2 linked regions of the Anolis sagrei genome follow. The protein of the gene in region 2 interacts with the protein of the main gene of each other region in a pairwise test. Links are inferred from orthologs where the notes say so. Each region holds a gene or a part of one and is shown on either strand. Other genes may lie near its edges.

Region 1 (9,279 bases), on a different chromosome or scaffold from region 2:
GCAGAAGGGTGGCTTCCTGTTAAAGTTTGCAGTTATAGGGCAGGCCACCTGTCCATCATCATTAGGTTCCTTAGTTCTGCCCCTTTTGGGTTTTCAGAAGAGAAGGGAGCCATTTTTAGTCAGTCACACACAAGGAAGCTAGTCTATAGGACGCAGACAGCTTGTCCCATAGGAAAAGCTTCATTCCTCAGGATCATCCGGGGATCATCCAGGGAAATAGAAACAGAAGGAAAAGATCCCAAAGGCTCTGGCTGAGAGCACACAGCCTCACAGCACCAGAGGGGAAAACAGCCCTGAAGTTCCCACAGGACAGCATTACAGAACCACGGAATTCCAGCTGAAGTATCTTCAAGCCTTGGCTGGTAGGTTTACTCGATGTCCAGACGCATTTGGGATCGGTAGTAAGACCCAAACCAGCGAGGCCCAGATAACAGAGAGATTATAAAGGGTTCTTCCTCATGCTGAGAAAGTACAGTTAATCCAAGTCAGTGCCAGTCTCTTAAAGACTAGAATAAGAAAACCTTGAAGTGTTGTCTGAAGATTTGTTATTTGTTCCTTAATAAAGACTTTGTTGTACCATTAAAGACTCCAGAGACCAATACTTCAGGAAATCCCTAAGAATCTCTCTTTGAGGCACCCCGGCTTCCACTGGGTTTAAAGTATACGTCCTATAGAATAAAGACAATTTGTTCAGACCCAGTGCGTGACAGAACAGTCACCCTTTGGGGGACCCAAAGAATAATAGAATCCTAGAGTTGGAAGAGACCTGGTGGGCCATCCAGTCCAACCCCCTGCCAAGAAGCAGGAAAAGCACATTCAAAGCACCCCTGGCAGACGGCCGTCCTATGAAATGACTGCAAAAGTTAGTACCTTTATACTAAACTTCCTCTAGTGCTACACAGGCGGCATTCAAGTTTTCCCATAGGACAAAAGGGCCAGAGGATTGGACTGCGTGACCCTTGCGGTCCTTTCCAACTCTATGATTCTGTGACTTCTGCTGCGTCATAGGACATGCTGTCCATTTGGATACGTCAGGACCAATGCACAGAAACCATGCTGCTGGCTCTCCTTGGGCCATATAGTAACTAAGTTCCATTTCATAGAATCATAGAATCCTAGAGTTGGAAGAGACCTCATGGGCCATCCAGTCCAACCCCATTCTGCCAAGAAGCAGGAATATTGCATTCAAAGCACCCCTGACGGCCATCCAGCCTCTGTTTAAAAGCTTCCAAAGAAGGAGCCTCCACCACTCTCTAAGGCAGAAAGTTCCACTGCTGAACGGCTCTCACAGTCAGGAAGTTCTTCCTCATGTTCAGGTGGAATCTCCTCTCTTGTAGTTTGCGTCCTAGTCTCCAGGGCAGCAGAAAACCAGCTTGCTCCCTCCTCCCTGTGGCTTCCTCTCACATATTTATACATGGCTATCATATCTCCTCTCATCCTTCTCTTCTTCAGGCTAAACATGCCCAGCTCCTTAAGCCGCTCCTCATAGGGCTTGTTCTCAGACCCTTTATCATTTGAGTCGCCTTCCTCTGGACACATTCCAGCTTGTCAATATCTCTCTTCAATTGTGGTGCCTAGAACTGGACACAATATTCCAGGTGTGGTCTAACCAAAGCGGAATAGAGCATGGAGAGCATGACTTCTCTAGATCTAGACACTATGCTCCTATTGATGCAATTTCCTTCTGAAACACCGAGCAAAGACACAATCCAACTCACATTGTTGTGTGCCTTCAAGTTGTTTCCAACACATGGAGACCCTGAGGTGGTTTCCTGGGGCTGAAAATGTGGGACTTGCACAGAGTTCACCCAGAGCAGGGATTCTGAACCAAGTCTCCAGAGCTGTAATCCAAGACTCAAACCGCCATGTCACACTGGCTTTATGCCCAACTTTATGCACTTGCAGTTAAATTTATGGTGCTGTAACGCGCCAACAAGGTGCCAGCTGAAATAAAGAAAGTCATAATCTTCCCCCTTTCTAAAACCCACCCACACTTTCTCCTCCATGGTCCACAGAAGCACTCACAGATGTATTTGCCGGCCGATGCCCGAGAGTCGGTGGCTACAATCACTCCATGTTGGAACGTAAAGGCCAGGGTGGTGGTCCCGTGGGCCAGCTCGATCCGGTGCCCATCAGCACTGCCTTCGCAGTGGGTCTGCAAGAACTCTGAAGGCTAAGAGAAAAGGAGAACTTTGTCAAAGGCTTTCATGGCCAGAATCACTGGGCTGTTGTAGGTTTTTTCGGGCTATATGGCCATGTTCTAGAGCAGTGGTTCTCAACCTGGGGGTCGGGACCCCTGGAGGGACCGTGAGGGAGTGTCGGAGGGGTCGCCAAAGACCATCACAGACAGTATTTTCTGTTGGTCATGGGAATTCTGTGTGGGAAGTTTGGCCTAATTCTATCATAGGTGGGCTTCAGAATGCTCTTTGGTTGTAGGTGAACTATAAATCCCAGCAACTACAACTTCCAAATGTCAAGGTCTATTTTCCCCAAACTCCACCAGTGTTTACATTTGGGCATATTGAATATTCGTGCCAAGTTTGATACAGATCCATCATTGTTTGAGTCCGTAGTGCTCTCTGCATGTAGGCGAACTACAACTCCAAAACTCAAGGTCAATGCCCACCAAATCCTTCCAGTATTTTCAGTTGGTCATGGGAGTTCTGTATGCCAAGTTTGGGCCAACTCCATCATTGGTAGAGTTCAGAATGCTCTTTGAATGTAGGTGAACTATACATCCCAGCAACTACAACTCCCAAATGACAAAATCAATCCTCCCATCCAAAAAGGTAAAGGTAAAGGTAGTCCCCTGACATTAAGTCCAGTCATGTCTGACTCTGGGGTGTGGTGCTCATCTCCATTTCTAAGCCGAAGAGCCGGCGTTGTCCGTAGACACCTCCAAGGTCATGTGGCCGGCATGACTGCATGGAGCGCCGTTATTCTTCCCACTGGAGCGGTACCTATTGATCTACTCACATTTGCATGTTTTCGAACTCCCATCCCAACCCCACCAGTATTCAAATTTGGGCATATTAGGTATTTGTGCCAAATTTGGTCCAGTGAATGAGAATACGTCCTGCATATCAGATATTTACATAACGATTCATAACAGTAGCAAAATTACAATTAGGAAGTAGCAATGAAAATAATTTAATGGCTGGGGGGTCACCACAACATGAGGAACTGTATTAAGGGGCCGTGGCATTAGGAACGTTGAGAACCACTGTTCTAGAGGCATTCTCTCCTGACATTTCGCCTGCATCTACGGCAAGCATCCTCAGAGGTAGGTCACTAACAAGCCACCCCAAACAACTGCTAGGGCATCAAATGCTAATCAAGGTGGTCAGTTGAAACATTCACACCTGGCTCCAACAGGCAAGAGTTCTTTGTCCCACCCTGGTCATTCCACAGATATATAAACCCAATTTTCCTACTTCCAACATACCTCCCTACCTCTGAGGATGCTTGCCACAGATGCGGGCGAAACGTCAGGAGAGAATGCCTCTAGAACATGGCCATATAGCCCAGAAAAACCTACAACAACCCAAAAGGAGAGCAGGTGCTTAGCACACCTCCCTTTGCGACTTGTCCATCTGCTTCAATGGCTTCTTTGTGTAGCCTGCCATGGTGGTTGTGAGAGTGGTGCAGCATTTCGGGACCAGGCTGTTAGGAATTGAGGGGGTTGAAGTCCAAAACTCCCTAGAATCATAGAATCAAAGAGTTGGAAGAGACCTCCTGGGCCATCCAGTCCAACCCCATTCTGCCAAGAAGCAGGAATATTGCATTCAAATCACCCTTGACAGATGGCCATCCAGCCTCTGTTTAAAAGCTTCCAAAGAAGGAGCCTCCACCACACTCCGGGGCAGAGAGTTCCACTGCTGAACGGCTCTCACAGTCAGGAAGTTCTTCCTCGTGTTCAGATGGAATCTCCTCTCTTGTAGTTTGAAGCCATTGCTCCATTGCGTCCTAGTCTCCCTGGAGGGAGGGTCGAAGTTGACCCATGCCTGTGTAGATGCCCCTTGAGCTGTGTTTAGGAAAGGGAAAGCCCTGAAGTTCACACCCCCACCAAACTAAAACCCTTCCCTCCTGGCTCCCGGGTTCTAAAGGCAGTGGGCTTCCAAGGCAGCACTCTGCACGCGCTCAGAGGCTCCCTCCCTTCAAAGGTCGAGCTCGGATCAGGCTCCCGACACCTTCCCCTCCTTCCTTCCTTACCTGCCTCCCGAGCGGCACAGCGATGCGAGGTTCTCGCAACCCGAAGGCGAAGTGCCCGGCCTCGTTGGGGGAGACCCGAAGGTGTTCCCGGGGGTCCCAGTCCCAAGCCTTGGAGGGCAAGGGCGCGCCGCACACCTCCTGCAGCGCCATCGCCCACGCGCGACTGAGTTCTCCTCTCTCCGCTCCCGAGAAAGTGAAAGCAAAAGCGAAAGGAGGTTTGGAAGGAAGGGAGGGAAGAGGAAAGAGAGGGGGTCTCAGGATGTAGGAGGAAGCCTTCCAACCTCCGTTGCGTCCCAGGTCCCAAGATCTCTCAGGGTGGATCTGGGAGCGAAAGCTCTCCACTCCAAAGCAACTTGAGTCCCAAAATCTTTCTGCCTTGCAGCTTCAAAGCCTGACTGTTGGGAGTGTTAGCTGGCCCTGATTGTTTCAGGTCTGGCCTAACACTTCCCAACAAAGGATTCCCCACAGGCAGGAAGCAGCCAGGCTTTGAAGCTGCAAGGCCATTCAGTGCTTATCAAAGCAGCCAATTGCAACATTCATACAAGAGTTCTTTCTCCCACCCTGGACATTATTCCACAGATGTATAAACCCCACTTGGCTAATTTCCAACAGACCTCACAACCTCTGAACAGGGGCGGCTCGTCCATTACGCGAAGTAAGCCGTCGCAGAACACTTTTTTTTTTGCCAGGGGCGCCGAGGCACCTCTGTAAATGCCCCTCGACTGCCACTTGAGGAGCGCTCCCTCAGCTCACAACAGCCCTAGCAGTCCGGGGGGAGTCTCGGCTTTCTTGCCTCGCTGCCGGGCGATCCTCTTCCCAAAGGGGCCGGGCCCTTGAGCCTTGCCTAGCCCCTCTCATTCCTGCTCCACCCGGCCACCGGGTGCGCGAGCAGAGCCGGTGCTCAATCGTTCTCCGCGTTCGATCCCTTCCCCATGACGGATCCCTTTCCCGATCCCCCAGCGCTCCACCCGCCTCCCCTCCTCTCCCCAATCCGCGGGTGGGCCAAGGGGCGGAGCCACCGCGCCTGGCCCGCTTCGGGTCCAGAGGTGTGTCTGAAGACCCCAGCGTGCGCACCAAAAGTCGCCTCTTCTCCTGACTTTCTCTTCAGCCATTGGGACCAAGAGAGAGAGATAGAGAGAGAGAGAGAGAGAGAGAGAGAGAGAGAGAGAGCCCCTCCGGCTGGAGGTATCTCCCACCTCCGCTCCCTCTTTTGTTTTTGTGCCTACCTTCAGGAAAGGTGGGCACCTCCACCTCTCTCTCTCTGGGTCCCAATGGCTGAGGAGAAAGTCAGGAGAAGAGGTGACTTTTGGTGCACACGCCGGGGTCTTCAGGCATGCCTCTGGACCCAAAGCGGGTCAGGCAAGGGAGTAAGTGCGGCAAGTGTAGTTACTGGGATGTATAGTTCACCTATAATCAAGGAGCATTCTGAACTCCACCAATGATGGAATTGAACCAAATATGGCACACAGAACTCCCACGACAAACAGAAAATATATAGCAATGATTGGTTAGGGGGGAGGGAGCCAAAATACTGTTTGCTTACCGTTGAAAATTACTTAGGGCCGCCTCTGGACGCGAAACAATGGCTTCAAATTACAAGAAAGGGGATTCCATCTGAACATGAGGAAGAGCTTCCTGACTGTGAGAGCCGTTCAGCAGTGGAACTCTCTGCCCCAGAGTGTGGTGGAGGCTCCTTCTTTGGAAGCTTTTAAACAGAGGCTGGATGGCCATCTGTCAGGGGTGCTTTGAATGCAATATTCCTGCTTCTTGACAGAATGGGGTTGGACTGGATGGCCCATGAGGTCTCTTCCAACTCTTTGATTCTATGATTCTATAATTATACACATGAAACAAAGGTGGTCTGGACTGAAAGCAAAAGTCTCCCCACCGCAGACACTTCTAGTGACACTTTTGCATTCTGGACTATTTCAGAATTCTGAATAAGGGATGTTCAACCTATAGTCACATAATTTTAATCATCACAGTTATACCTATTGGTCCATGCTATCAGGGTGTCCATGCTATCAAGAGAGGAGATTCCATCTGAACATGAGGAAGAACTTCCTGACTGTGAGAGCCGTTCAGCAGTGGAACTCTCTGCCCCGGAGTGTGGTGGAGGCTCCTTCTTTGGAAGCTTTTAAACAGAGGCTGGATGGCCATCTGTCAGGGGTGATTTGAATGCAATATTCCTGCTTCTTGGCAGGGGGTTGGACTGGATGGCCCATGAGGTCTCTTCCAACTCTTTGATTCTATGATTCTATGATTCTATAAGCTACTGTTCAGTAATTCAGTTGTTTTTGTGCCTCTCTGGCTTCTCATGGTTTCTTTTTCAGGGGACCAAGAGTGTATGAATCACCCAAGGTTCACTCAGGGGCTTTCCGTAACCGAGCAGAGAATCTAGTTCTGGTATTCAGAGTTCAGTGACCAAACCACAAAGTCACACGGCTTCTCTTGTTTTTCTTACTCCATATTTAACCATTTATTATGTAAAATTGTATTAGTAATTTCAACAGGGCATCATCATGCCGCAGCAATGAATTTAACAATAACATTAGTTTTGTAATAATGTTTATTGTTTTGCCATTGGTACTTGTGACGGGCCGTCAAGTCATCTTCGCCTTCAACCCTCTGAATGCGAGACTTCAAGATCCGGTTTTGCAAACTGCCATAGCTTCCTGTTCACAATATGCAAAGAGTCATGACTTCCTGGATTGAACCTCTCCATCGGCATCTTGACAAAGTACAGATCTAACATTATCAGCTCCTCTTTACCTACCTCCTAAAGCAGCATTTCTCAATCTGGGGGTTGGGACCACTGAGGGGTCGTGAGGGAGCTTTCAGAGGGGTTGCCAAAGACCATCAGAAAACATATATTTCTGGTAGTCTTAGGAACTCCTTTGGCAGAGAAGGCTGAAGAGATCTCTGCCTGTCCTTCTCTTCCCTTTTGGAAACTGATGGCGAATTCTCCCTCCGAAAGCCCTCCTCCGCTGTGATTGGCCAGCCTCTCTGCCTGAGACTCCAAACAGGGAGGGGAGAGCAGAAATACTTGATGCATGGCAGCGTGGTGCACTTGTGTGGGGTGAGGGAGAGCGGGTGGGGCTGGAGGGAGGCTCATGCTAGCGAGTCCCTTCAAAAGATCGGAATTCTGTGTGGGAAATTTGGCCCAATTCTATCATTGGTGGGGTTCGGAATGCTCTTTAACTTCAGTTCCCAAATGTCAAGGTCTATTTTTCCCCCAAACTCCACCAATGCTTACATTTGGGCATGTTGAGTATTTGTGCTAATTTGGTCCAGATCCATCATTGTTTGAGTCCACAGTGCTCTCTGGATGTAGGTGAACTAAGCCAAGGGAGTGGATGTTTCTGAGACTCCAAGCAGGGAGGGGAGAGCAAGCATGCTTGGCACATGGCAACATGGCGTGCATGTGCAGGCTAGGGAGAGCATGCGAGGCTGGAGGGAGGTTCAGGCCAGCAAGTCCCTTCAAGGCAATGGGGTTTTATGTGGGAAATTTGGCCCAATTCTATTGTTGATGAGGTTCAGAATGCTCTTTGATTGTAGGTGAACTATAAACTATAGCACCGGGATTGTGGCGCAGCTGGCTGAGTTTCAGCTGCATTAAGATCACTCTAACCAAAAGATCATGAGTTCGAAGGCAGCCCGGGTTGGAGTGGGTTTCCAACCAATTGTGTAGCCTGTTGTCGACCTTTGCAACCCGAAAGACAGTTGCATCTGTCAAGTAGGAAAATTAGGTACCACCTTAAAGTGTGGGGAGGCCAAATTAACTCATTTATGAGGCCATAAAAAAGACTCCAGCAAAGCACTCCAGCAACTATAAATCCCAGCAACTTCAATTCCCAAATATCAAGATCTATTTGCCCCAAACTACACCAGTGTTCCCATTTGGGCATGTTGAGTATTCATGCCAAGTTTGGTCCAGATCCATCATTGTTTGAGTCCACAGTGCTCTCTGGATGTAGGCGAACTACAACTCCCAAACTCAAGGTCAATGCCCATGAAACCCTTCCAGTATTTTCTGTTGGTCATGGGAGTTCTGTGTGCCTTCCATCATTGGTAGAGTTCACAATGCTCTTTGATTGTAGGTGAACTATAAATCCCAGCAACTATAACTCCCAAACGACAAAATCAATACCCCTCCCCACAACCCCACCAGCATTCAAATTTGGGTGTATCGGGCATTTTGCCAAATTTGGCCCAGTGAATGAAAATGCATCCTGCATATCAGATATTTACATTACGATCCATGACAGTACCAAATTGACAGTTATGAAATAGCAACAAAAATAATGTTATGGTTGGGGTCACCACAACATGAGGAATTGTATTAAGGGGTCCCGGCATTAGGCAGGTTGAGAACCACTGGTGTAGTGGTTTGAGCTAGGACTATGACTCTGGAGACCAGGACTTGCATTCTTGGTCAGCCTTTGGTCCCAATTTCTCAGTCTCAGAAATCTTGCCAGGAAACCCTTCTTGTGATGGGTTCACCTTAGAGTCAACATATGTCAGAAATAACACAAAAGCACACAACCACCAAGTCAGCTTGATTCTTGTGGCTCCCAAGGTGGAAAATCTCACTCAAGCCACCCTGGCTATAAAAATTAATGTAGTGTGCATAACCAATAACTTCCTGCTGTTTGACGTCACCCATAATGTGTTCCCTGGGATACGGCTGCCCTTTGCTCTCTGTCACGGCAACCTTGCAATATTCAAGGAAGAGCAGCTCAATAAGAATCAGGAAGTGTTGTCACTTTTGTAATTTTGTGTCAAAAGCATAAATAAGTATAAAACTGATAAAAATAGAAGGAGCACAAGCGGCTAAATAATTTTAGACCAAAAATGGGCAACAGCAACCACACTGTCTGTAGCTGTAAACAATTCTTCCTCTGTGCATGAGGCAGGGCATTATGGGCAAGCACACATATGCATAGTGGTTTGTTCTGCTCTACAGTCACACAAGGTGGAGGATTCTTCTCTATCTTCTTGGAACTGGACCAACCACTTAATCGAGTTCCTCCTGTTGTGGTGACCCCCAACCATAACAATATTTCC
Region 2 (9,928 bases):
GTATAATGTACTCCCACAGAACTGTTCATGATTAAAAAGAAATTGGCTACTTGTCAAAAGCCTGGCTACTTGTCAAAAGCCCATTTTTCAGAAAAGTCCATGAAGCCGTTTCTAACTCTTATTTATTTATTTATTTATTTATTTATTTATTTGCTTTATTTGTATACCGCATTTTTCAGCCTATATAGGCGACTCAATGCGGTTTACATGCAATTAAAACACAACAATTACACAACAAAATCAATAGCATCAATCAACAACAATAACAAATCAAACATCGCCTCCGTAAAATCAGATCCGTTCTCATAATCCTTGTGCCATTCCTATGTTCCATTTACCGTCTTCCTATGTTCAGTTGCACTGTTTAACCAAACGCTTGTTCATAAAGCCAAGTCTTGACCTTTCTCCGAAACGCCAGCAACAAAGGTGCCTGCCTGATGTCTGCTGGTAAGGCATTCCATAGCCGAGGGGCCACCACTGAGAAGGCCCTGTCTCTCGTCCCCACCAAACGCGCCTGCGATGCAGGCGGGACCGAGAGCAGGGCCTCCCCAGACGATCTTAATGTTCTGGTCGGTTCATAGGTGGAGATGCGTTCAGAGAGGTAAGTGGGGCCAGAACCGTTTAGGGCTTTGTAGGCTAAAGCCAGCACCTTGAATTGTGCTCTTATCTCCATGTCAGGAAGAACTGCAGAGAAACTTAACTATGTTTCTAGAATAGAGATGAAATACCTTCCACTATTTATCAACCACATTTCTTTACACTATAATGTTTATAAAGGGCACAGACACCTCACCAAACTACCAGAACAGTAGTCAATTCTTACAGCCCAGCCTACATAAGCTTTAAAATTGATGAAATAAATTTTCTGGGGCAGTTTTCCAGAAAATATGCATATAGATCTCATATAAATTATATGCACACACACACAAATGTACACATACATATACACACATATTTTGAATATTGATAATATTTTTCAGAAGAAAACATAACTAGAAGAAGGAAAACCTCATAACCTTTTAAAAAGAAAAAGAAAAAAAGAGTACTACAGTGACATTGCAAGGAGCAGTTAAGGCAGACCCTTACTCCCCCAAGTCACAGATTGCTTTTTGACAAGGTACAACTCAATGAGAAATATGATCATAAAATAAATATCCACAAGATGCGCTCTTATCTCCAACTTCACACATGGCATGGCTCAAAAGACGGTATGAACTGAAACAAAGGGAAATCAATTTTTGCAAATGTAAAGACTGGTGAAGAAGGAAGATAAAGAGCAGAATTGTGTACTATGCATTGTGGCTGAATGAATTGCAGTTTGAGCATCCCTTATCTGGTCATCCAAAATCGGAAATTATCCATAGGGGTGATCTGGGATAGTAAGTGACGCCTTTGCTTTCACATGGTTTAATGTACACACACTTCATTTCATTCTCAAAAATTTTAAAACGTGTCTAAGGTCATCTTTAAGCTAAGTGTAGTAAAACAATCAATAACGTTTCTGCCTCCAGTGGCACAGCAGGTTAAATGGCTGAGCTATGAACTTGCTGACCGAAAGGTCGGCAGTTTGAATCTGGGAAGCAGGGTGAGCTCACACTGTTAGCCCCAGTTTCTGCCAACCTAGCAGTTCGAAAACATGTAAATGTGAGTAGATCAATAAGTACCACTTCAGTGTGAAGGTAACAGTGCTTCATGCAGTCATGCCAGCCACATGACCTTGGAGGCGTCTACAGACAATGCTGGCTCTTCAGCTTAGAAATGGAGATGAACACCACCCCCAGAGTCAGACATGACTACACTTAATGTCAAGGGAAACCTTTACTTTTATCATTATGTTTGCAAGCACATAAGGAGAAGGACAAATTAAATATTCAGCATTATAAATGAGCTCAGAACATGGAAATGACTGCTCCTTTGGGTTTATATCCTTTTGAATTTATAACGTCTTTTAACATTTTTATCAATTTGAGAACTTTTTGTCTTGTATTAGTTGAGTTACATTGTATTGTTAGTTTTTGTTTAATTAGGTGGTAATGTCTTGTTATTGCTTACGTTAAGATTTACTATGTCATTTTAAATTTATGTCATGTCATATTTATTGATTAGTTGTATTACACGGCATTTGAATACTGTCATTTTATGTTGTGAACAGCCGTAAGTCCCCATTGGGGCCATAGGGCGGGATACAAATAAAGTTTATTGTTATTATTTGAAACCTTACCTTCCTCCTTCCCCAGCCTCTACATTGGAAGCAATTGATTTTCCTTCTTGTTTCAAATAGATGTCTCGTTTAGACATGTGTCCCATTCTCAGGGTGCTGCTACACCAGGCGTGGGCCAACTTGGGCCCTCCAGGTGTTTTGGACTTCAACTCCCACAATTCCTAACAGCCTCAGGCCCCTTCCTTTTCCCCCTCAGCCACTTAAGATCAGGCCTGGGCCAACTTGGACCCTCCCTCCAGGTGGTTTAGACTTCAATTTCCACGATTCCTAACAGCCTCAGGCCCTTTCCATTTCCCCCTCAGCCACTTAAGTGATCCAGTGAATGAAAACACATCCTGCATAGGGTTGTTGTATGTTTTTTCGGGCTACATGGCCATGTTCTAGAGGCATTTCTCCTGACGTTTCACCTGCATCTATGGCAAGCATCCTCAGAGGTAGTGAGGTCTGTTAGAACTAGGAAAAAGGGTTTATATATCTGTGGAATGACCAGGGTGAGACAAAGGACTCTTGTCTGCTGGAGCTAGGTGTGAATGTTTCAACTGACCACCTTGATTAGCATTTGATTGCCTGGCAGTGCCTGGAGCAATCTTTTGTTGAGAGGTGATTAGATGTCCTTGTTTGTTTCCTCTCTGTTGTTGTGCTGTTCTAATTTTAGAGTTTTTTTTAATACTGGTAGCCAGATTTTGTTCCTTTTCATGGTTTCCTCCTTTCTGTTGAAATCCACATGCTTGTGGATTTCAATGGTTTCTCTGTGTAGTCTGACATGGTGATTGTTCGAGTGATCCAGCATTTCTGTGTTCTCGAATAATATGCTGTGTCCATCCTGCATATCATAAAAGGAAAAGAATGGGGCCTGAGGGGGAAAAGGAAGGGGGCTGGGATTGTTAGGAATTGTGGAAGTTGAAGTCCAAAACACCTGGAGGGCTCAAGTTGGCCCATGCCTGACCTACACTGTGGAATGAATGCAGTTTGGTACCACTTTAATTGTCAGAGCTCAATGCCACGGAATCCTGGGATTTGTAGTCTGCTGAGGCGCCAATACTTTTTTTGGCAGAAAAGGCTGGAAAGCTTATAAAACTACAACTCCCATGGTTCGATATCTTGGAGCCATGGCAGTTAAAGTGAGGTTGGAAATGCATTAATTCTTGTTATTGTTTAATTGTTTAATTTAATTGTTTGAAGCAATTAATTTAATTGTTTAAATGTTTATTTAATTGTTTATGGAGCCCCTGGTGGCACAGTGGGTTAAACCTGGGTGCCGGCAGGACTGAAGACCGACAGGTCGCAGGTTCGAATCCGGGGAGAGGCGGATGAGCTCCCTCTATCAGCTCCAGCTCCTCATGCGGGGGCATGAGGGAAGCCTCCCACAAGGATGATAAAAACATCAAAAATCATCCAGGCGTCCCCTGGGCAATGTCCTTGCAGACGGCCAATTCTCTCACACCAGGAATCACTCCTGACGCGACAAAAAAAAATTAATTGTTTAATTATTGTTATTGTTTTTATTGTTTCTACTGTTTTTATATGGCTTATGTTATATGTTAATGTTTTTAATTATATTTTATGTTGTTGGGGGCATTGATTGCCGACTGTAAACCGCCTGGAGTCATCGTCGGGCTGAGAAAGGCGGTATATAAATGTGGTAAATAAATAAATTCTCATTTAGACGGCGACCTCACTGTACCTCAGAGATATCTCATGACTATATTTGAGAACCTTCCAAAATTCATTTTAAAAACCCTCAAATCCCAAACACTTGTGGGCCCGAGCATTTCGAAGAAGGGATGCTCCACCCAGTGGTTCTCAACCTGGGGTCCCCAGATGTTTTTGGCCTTCAACTTCTAGAAATCCTAACAGCTGCTAAACTGGCTGGGATTTCTGGGAATTGTAGGCCAAAAATATCTGGGGACCCCAGGTTGAGAACCACTGGAGGCGAACCAGGACCGGCCATGTCTCCGGGGCGAAAAAGAAACCATCTCCGGCGGAATGCCCACATTTCCCTCGATTGGGGCTTCACCCCACCCACCTCCTTTGCAGGCCCCCTCCCCTCACAGGTGTATTTATGTGGACTCACTCTCACCCCTCTTCCAGCCCCTCCGCTTACCATCTTTGCACAGTCACTAGGCACCAAGGACTTCCTTCCGGCTGCGAGGAGCGATGGGAAGAGGCGCGGTGACGTAAGCACGCCCCTCCCGCGCGCATAGGGAGAGAGAGAGAGAGTGAGTGAGTGAGAGTATCACGTGACAAGGATTCGGGCAAAAGAAAACGAAGAGCCCGCTTTCTCCTTCTGTGCGCGCGAGAGGCAGGGGGGCGGGGCTTGGAGGCGTCGTGCGCCTGCGCACTTGGGGGACCCTGATCTGAAAAAGGGAAGGAGGGTGGAGGGGTGGAGAGCAGAGCTTTGCTGCAAAAGTTTTAGAGCTCTTAGAATCAAAGAGTTGGAAGAGACCTCATGGGCCACCCAGTCCAGCCCCCTTCTGCCAAGAAGCAGGAATATTGCATTCAAAGCACCCCTGACAGATGGCCATCCAGCCTCTGTTTAAAAGCTTCCAAAGAAGCTCCTGGGCAGAGAGTTCCACTGCTGAACAGCTCTCACAGTCAGGAAATTCTTCCTCATGTTCAGATTGAATCTCCTTTCTTTTCTTTCTTTTCCTACTTCATGTCATTGACTGTGAAATCCATGCAGTCCGACATCACTGTGACTGCCATTGGAATTGAAGGAGCCCCCGGTGGCGCAGTGGGTTAAAACCCTGTGCCGGCAGGACTGAAGACCGACAGGTCGCAGGTTCAAATCCAGGGAGAGGCGGATGAGCTCCCACTATCAGCTCCAGCTCCTCATGCAGGGACATGAGAGAAGCCTCCCACAAAGATGATAAAACATCAAAATCATCTGGGCATCCTCTGGGCAATGTCCTTGAAGACGGCCAATTCTCTCACACCAGAAGTGACTTGCAGTTTCTCAGGTCGCTCCTGACACGACAAAAAAAATGGAATTGAAGAGTTCCAAGGTCTTTAATCTTCCCTGCCAAATGTTGGCACCTCACCTCACCCACCTGACATCCGCCGGGAAGTAGCAATCAATAGTGAAGGGACCAAAGCAGTGACATCTCCAGCTCATCCCCTGTTTGGATATAAGCCAGCACATCAATGAATGCATTTTCTCAAGTCGCTCCTGACACACACACACACACAAAAAGCCCAGAAGAAAACCAGCAGGCAATTGAGCTGCCACAGCATGGGAGTTGGTTTCTCCCTGAACGATGCTCCAAGTAGTAACCTGGCTGCCAATTTCTGGACCAGCTGAAGCTTCCAAACTATCTTCAAAGGCAGCCCCACAAAGAGAGTGTTGCAGTAGTCCGAATGGGATGTGACTGAGGTGTGGACTACCATTGGCCAAGTCAGGTGTCTCAAGGTACAGGTGCAGGAAGAAATAGCTTCCTAAGATCTACAGGGATATTCCCAGGAACACCTCAGCAAGCGAAAGTCCCAAAATGGCAGGCTAAAACCTGGAGCCTCAATCAGTGGCTGATACCAAATGAGAAATATGGGCACATAGAAGACTGGGTTACTTGGAAGGTGCTGAACAGACTGTGCTCTGGCACCACGAGATACAGAGCCAACCTTAAGAAATGGGGCCACAAAGTGGAGTCCATGACATGTGAGTGTGGAAAAGAGCAAACCACAGATTTACTACAATGCAGTCTGAGCCCTGCAACATGCACAATGGAGGAACCCCTTACAGCAACATCAGAGGCACTCAAAAGCGGCCAGCTTCTGGTCAAAGAAAATACAGTATAATGCCAAGTTTTTAACTTTATTTGTATTTTTTTATACATTTCAACTGTATTCTCAATTCACTTCAGACACAATAAAAAAGTCAAAATCAGCTACCATATAAAGAATTTCAGCCTGTGCTCAAGCGTTTTCACTAACCCAGTACATGGTTTGGGAATTCCTAATTCAGAAATGTCTCAATTTTATTTATCTTTAAAAGGCATGTAGGAAATGCGCAAATGTAATAATGATCATGTGCAATGTGATATTATGGATTGGTGCCCTGTCCTTTTATGATTTCATATAAGCGCCTTAAGAAGGCTTTATGAGCACCCATGGACTGGAACGTTTTATGAGCAACTTAAGACATGCCTCTTGTTTCTTCTGTAAGGTCACCACCGACAATGCCAAAAAGGATTGTCAGAGTAGAAGGAAGGGCCAGGTGTTTGCGAGGAGAAAGCACTCACAATTTGACAATTTAATGACTTCTTTTGGAGTCTTTTCTGGTCTTGGAATTACATGGATGAGGGTTGCTCACCAGATCCTCCTCCCTCCTCGCTTTTATGCTAAAAATATTTGTCTGCCTCAGTTCTGCAAAGATGGTAGAAAAATGCTCTGAAAATAATTATTTATTTGTTCGTTTGATATCCTTGGGTACACTTTATCTGGTTCTGGCAGCATTTGCAGCTTTAGAGCAGAGCTTTCTAAACATTTCACGTTGGTGGCACACCTTTTTAGACATGCATCATTTTGTGACACAGTTATTCAGTTCTACTAACAACCCAGAGGTTAAACCAACCATGTATAAGAGATACATACATAAATTGTAATAAAATGTGTGGAGACTCATCATATCTCATGAGAACTTTTCATTTACATTTAATTTGTTGTTTATTTGTTCAGATGCTTCTGACTCTCCGTGACCTCATGGTAAAAGGTCTAGAAACCAAGCCCCATGAAAAAGGATTGAAGAGATGGATAATTTAAGCATGGAGAAGTTTGACATATAATTTGATTGCCATCTTTAAAAGCTCTATAGAAAGTTTCTATAGAAAGTTTCTATAGAAAGTTTAATGTGTTGTCCATTAGATCCCTATTTTAAAGAGCATCTCCTCTGCTGTTATTTTATATTTTATATAGTGATCTGTTATAGTATTCTATATGTTATCTGAGGAGAAGGGCCAAGGATCCTACCATGCTACAACTTTTGCAATAGCACCAAATAGAATCTGAATGACAGTTGACATTACAATCATTTCCACATTTGCAAATTTGATTATTCATGGATTTGTTTTTCTAAGAATCTCGAGTTCCTCCATTGTGACTTTATGGTCAATTACTTCCAGTCATGCTGGAAGACAGGGGCCTCATCTACACTACCTTATAATGCAGTTTGAAACTGCATCATATGGTCAGTTTTAACTGTGTTATATGGGTTAACACTGCCCATATAACATTTCAATCTGCATTATATGGCAGCGTAGATAGGGCCCCAGAGATTTCTATTATTATTATTATTATTATTATTATTATTATTATATCCTTCAGGAAGGAAGAGGGGCCAACCAAGGGCAAGATGGATGGATGGCATCCTTGAAGTGACTGGACTGACCTTGAAGGAGCTGGGGGTGGTGACGGCCGACAGGGAGCTCTGGCGTGGGCTGGTCCATGAGGTCACGAAGAGTCGGAGACGACTGAATGAATGAACAACAACAATCCTTCAGTGCAATTCTATGGTCAGTTTTCAGCAGATTTGGCCATTCCTAGAAAAGAATTCTCTCAGGTTAAAAAAAAAGCAATGCTTTATTTGTGGTTATATATATATATACATTTATTACGGCCAATGACCAGCATAAAAAAGGTACAAGTGACAGGGTGTGCAAGTGTCAGAGTACGCACACATGTACAAGCACAAGTACAGAAGTATACAAGCATCAGGTTACACACACATCCGGGTATCAGGAAGCAATGTTAAAACAGAGTTTAAAACCCAATATTGAATATGGTAATTAAAGTGGTGTTAAACATTCAAATACTAAGATATGAATGATAAAATATATGTTAAAACTTTCTAAGTCTGTGTCAGCATCTTGGGGCAACAAGCCATAGCTGCTGCACAGAAGCTAGCAATCCTGACAGTGACCTTGGGGTGTTAGTCAGACAGGAGATAATCTGTATAAAATCTTGCAGATCTCCCTGGTAGACTTTCTAGAATTGGATTTATAAAATGTTTACGAAGGTCACGGTAAAAAGAGCAGTACAACAAAACGTGCTTCACAGTTTCCACTGTCTCGTCCTCACAGGACATAGGCGTTCATTGTATGGTACTTTGTTGTATCTCCAATACAACAGTGGTTTTTCACTTTTACAGGGGCCCTGTGTTCCTAACCCCAGCAAATGGGGCCTTTTAAAAGAAGTTTTGTTGAATGGAGAAGGGATAATTTTGTATCATTTTTACATGTACTGGTATTTTTAAAAGAAATGTTTTTTACACTTTTGCCATTCATTTTGCTATTTGTGTATTTATTTATTTATTTGCTATATTTATATCCCACCCTTCTCACTCCAAAGGGGATTCAGAGCGCCTAACATATAAGGCACAATTCAATGCTACACAACATACATCGAGCAAATAAATATATACATTAAAAACTGCTAAAAACGTATCAAACATTAAAATCCAGTTATTAAAATCACGTAATTCAATATCAAAATCCAAGGCCATTCCAACTGTCATTGTACCATTCTGCATTCACATCTTGTATCCTGTTATCTTGTATCCTGTTATGTTTGCAACAATGTATAGCTATAAGTAATAAATAGTCATATGTTAGTTTGGTTTAGTGCTGATAATTTCATACATTTTTTTCTTCTGGACAGTGCCACTACACAGGAACTTAACTTTTTAAAAAGTTTATCCCGTTCTATTTTATTTTTGAAAGAAAAGTATAAAGTTCCTGTTTAGCAGCAGTGTGTTGAAAAAAAAATCAGGATTGTCACTGAATATATTTATTTACTAAATGTTTGAGTTTGTCGATCAGGATATGAAACATTTACATTTCAAAGTCATCCTTGTAGGTATAGGATATAGACAGGACACCATCGCCACACGTACATTATTGACATCATCTCTTATGTTTAGGCTATATAACATAAAGGAATGTATTGTTGTGGTAAAGATCTCATTTGCTTTTAAAGGCAGACTTCCACATTAAATTTCTAGACATAAATAGAATAAGATGTTTTGACAAATAGTCCCCTCCTAACTTGCCCTTTTGTTTCAGCTACATTTGTAATTAGAGGTGTAATCCTATCATATTCAGTTGGAAGAATGTCCCACTGAATTGAATGCCCCTAATTTCTTTGAAAACCGCTTTGAGTCCCCCCAGAGGTGGTAAAAGCAGTATACAAATACTGTAAATAAATTTCCAACTCAACACATCTGGGATTAAATACAAAAACAGAGCATTGGTAGGGCAAAGAAGTGGTGTGTAGAGTCAAATAGCTGCATGTTTTCTAAGCAAATTCTATAAACCCAAATTGGTGTATACATAAATAATGGCATTTCCAAATTGCAGTTTCCTCATCCTCGCTGTGAAGGAGTGTCGTTATTAAACTGCTGCCACCAATTGTAACGATGACCGTTTTAATGCCACCGAATACCACCAATTGTGAAGGTGCACGTGGTAAAACACCCACTGCCACCTAATCTATGAGGGAAGCCGGGCAACGATCAATATCAGCCTAGGAACTATTTTATAAAGGGACTGTTTCTGGCTGACTTTATTATTGCAGGCTGTTCAACTTAGAAGAAACTGTATCAGGCAAGGCTTGAGGAAAACAGCAACAAGTTTATTTTAACAGGAGTATAACAATGTATAACTGTTCTTCAAAAGAGGCATAAATCTTGATGGTTACATTGGAAAGGTTTCATGA

What was found.
Region 1: the proteins of POMP (region 2) and PSMB8 interact in a two-hybrid assay, tested with the Homo sapiens proteins (2 studies listed by BioGRID). The link is inferred for Anolis sagrei from reciprocal best matches to the Homo sapiens genes POMP and PSMB8.

Annotation. Positions count from the first base shown.
Region 1 is NC_090022.1:6,650,048-6,659,326, forward strand, and holds the start of PSMB8 (proteasome subunit beta type-8), read right to left. Parts: upstream 4,395-9,279; 5' UTR 4,363-4,394; coding exon 4,213-4,362; intron 2,174-4,212; coding exon 2,026-2,173; intron 1-2,025. UniProt on the Homo sapiens protein: The proteasome is a multicatalytic proteinase complex which is characterized by its ability to cleave peptides with Arg, Phe, Tyr, Leu, and Glu adjacent to the leaving group at neutral or slightly basic pH.
Region 2 is NC_090023.1:31,781,410-31,791,337, reverse strand, and holds the start of POMP (proteasome maturation protein), read right to left. Parts: upstream 4,436-9,928; 5' UTR 4,329-4,435; coding exon 4,326-4,328; intron 1-4,325. UniProt on the Homo sapiens protein: Molecular chaperone essential for the assembly of standard proteasomes and immunoproteasomes. Degraded after completion of proteasome maturation. Mediates the association of 20S preproteasome with the endoplasmic reticulum.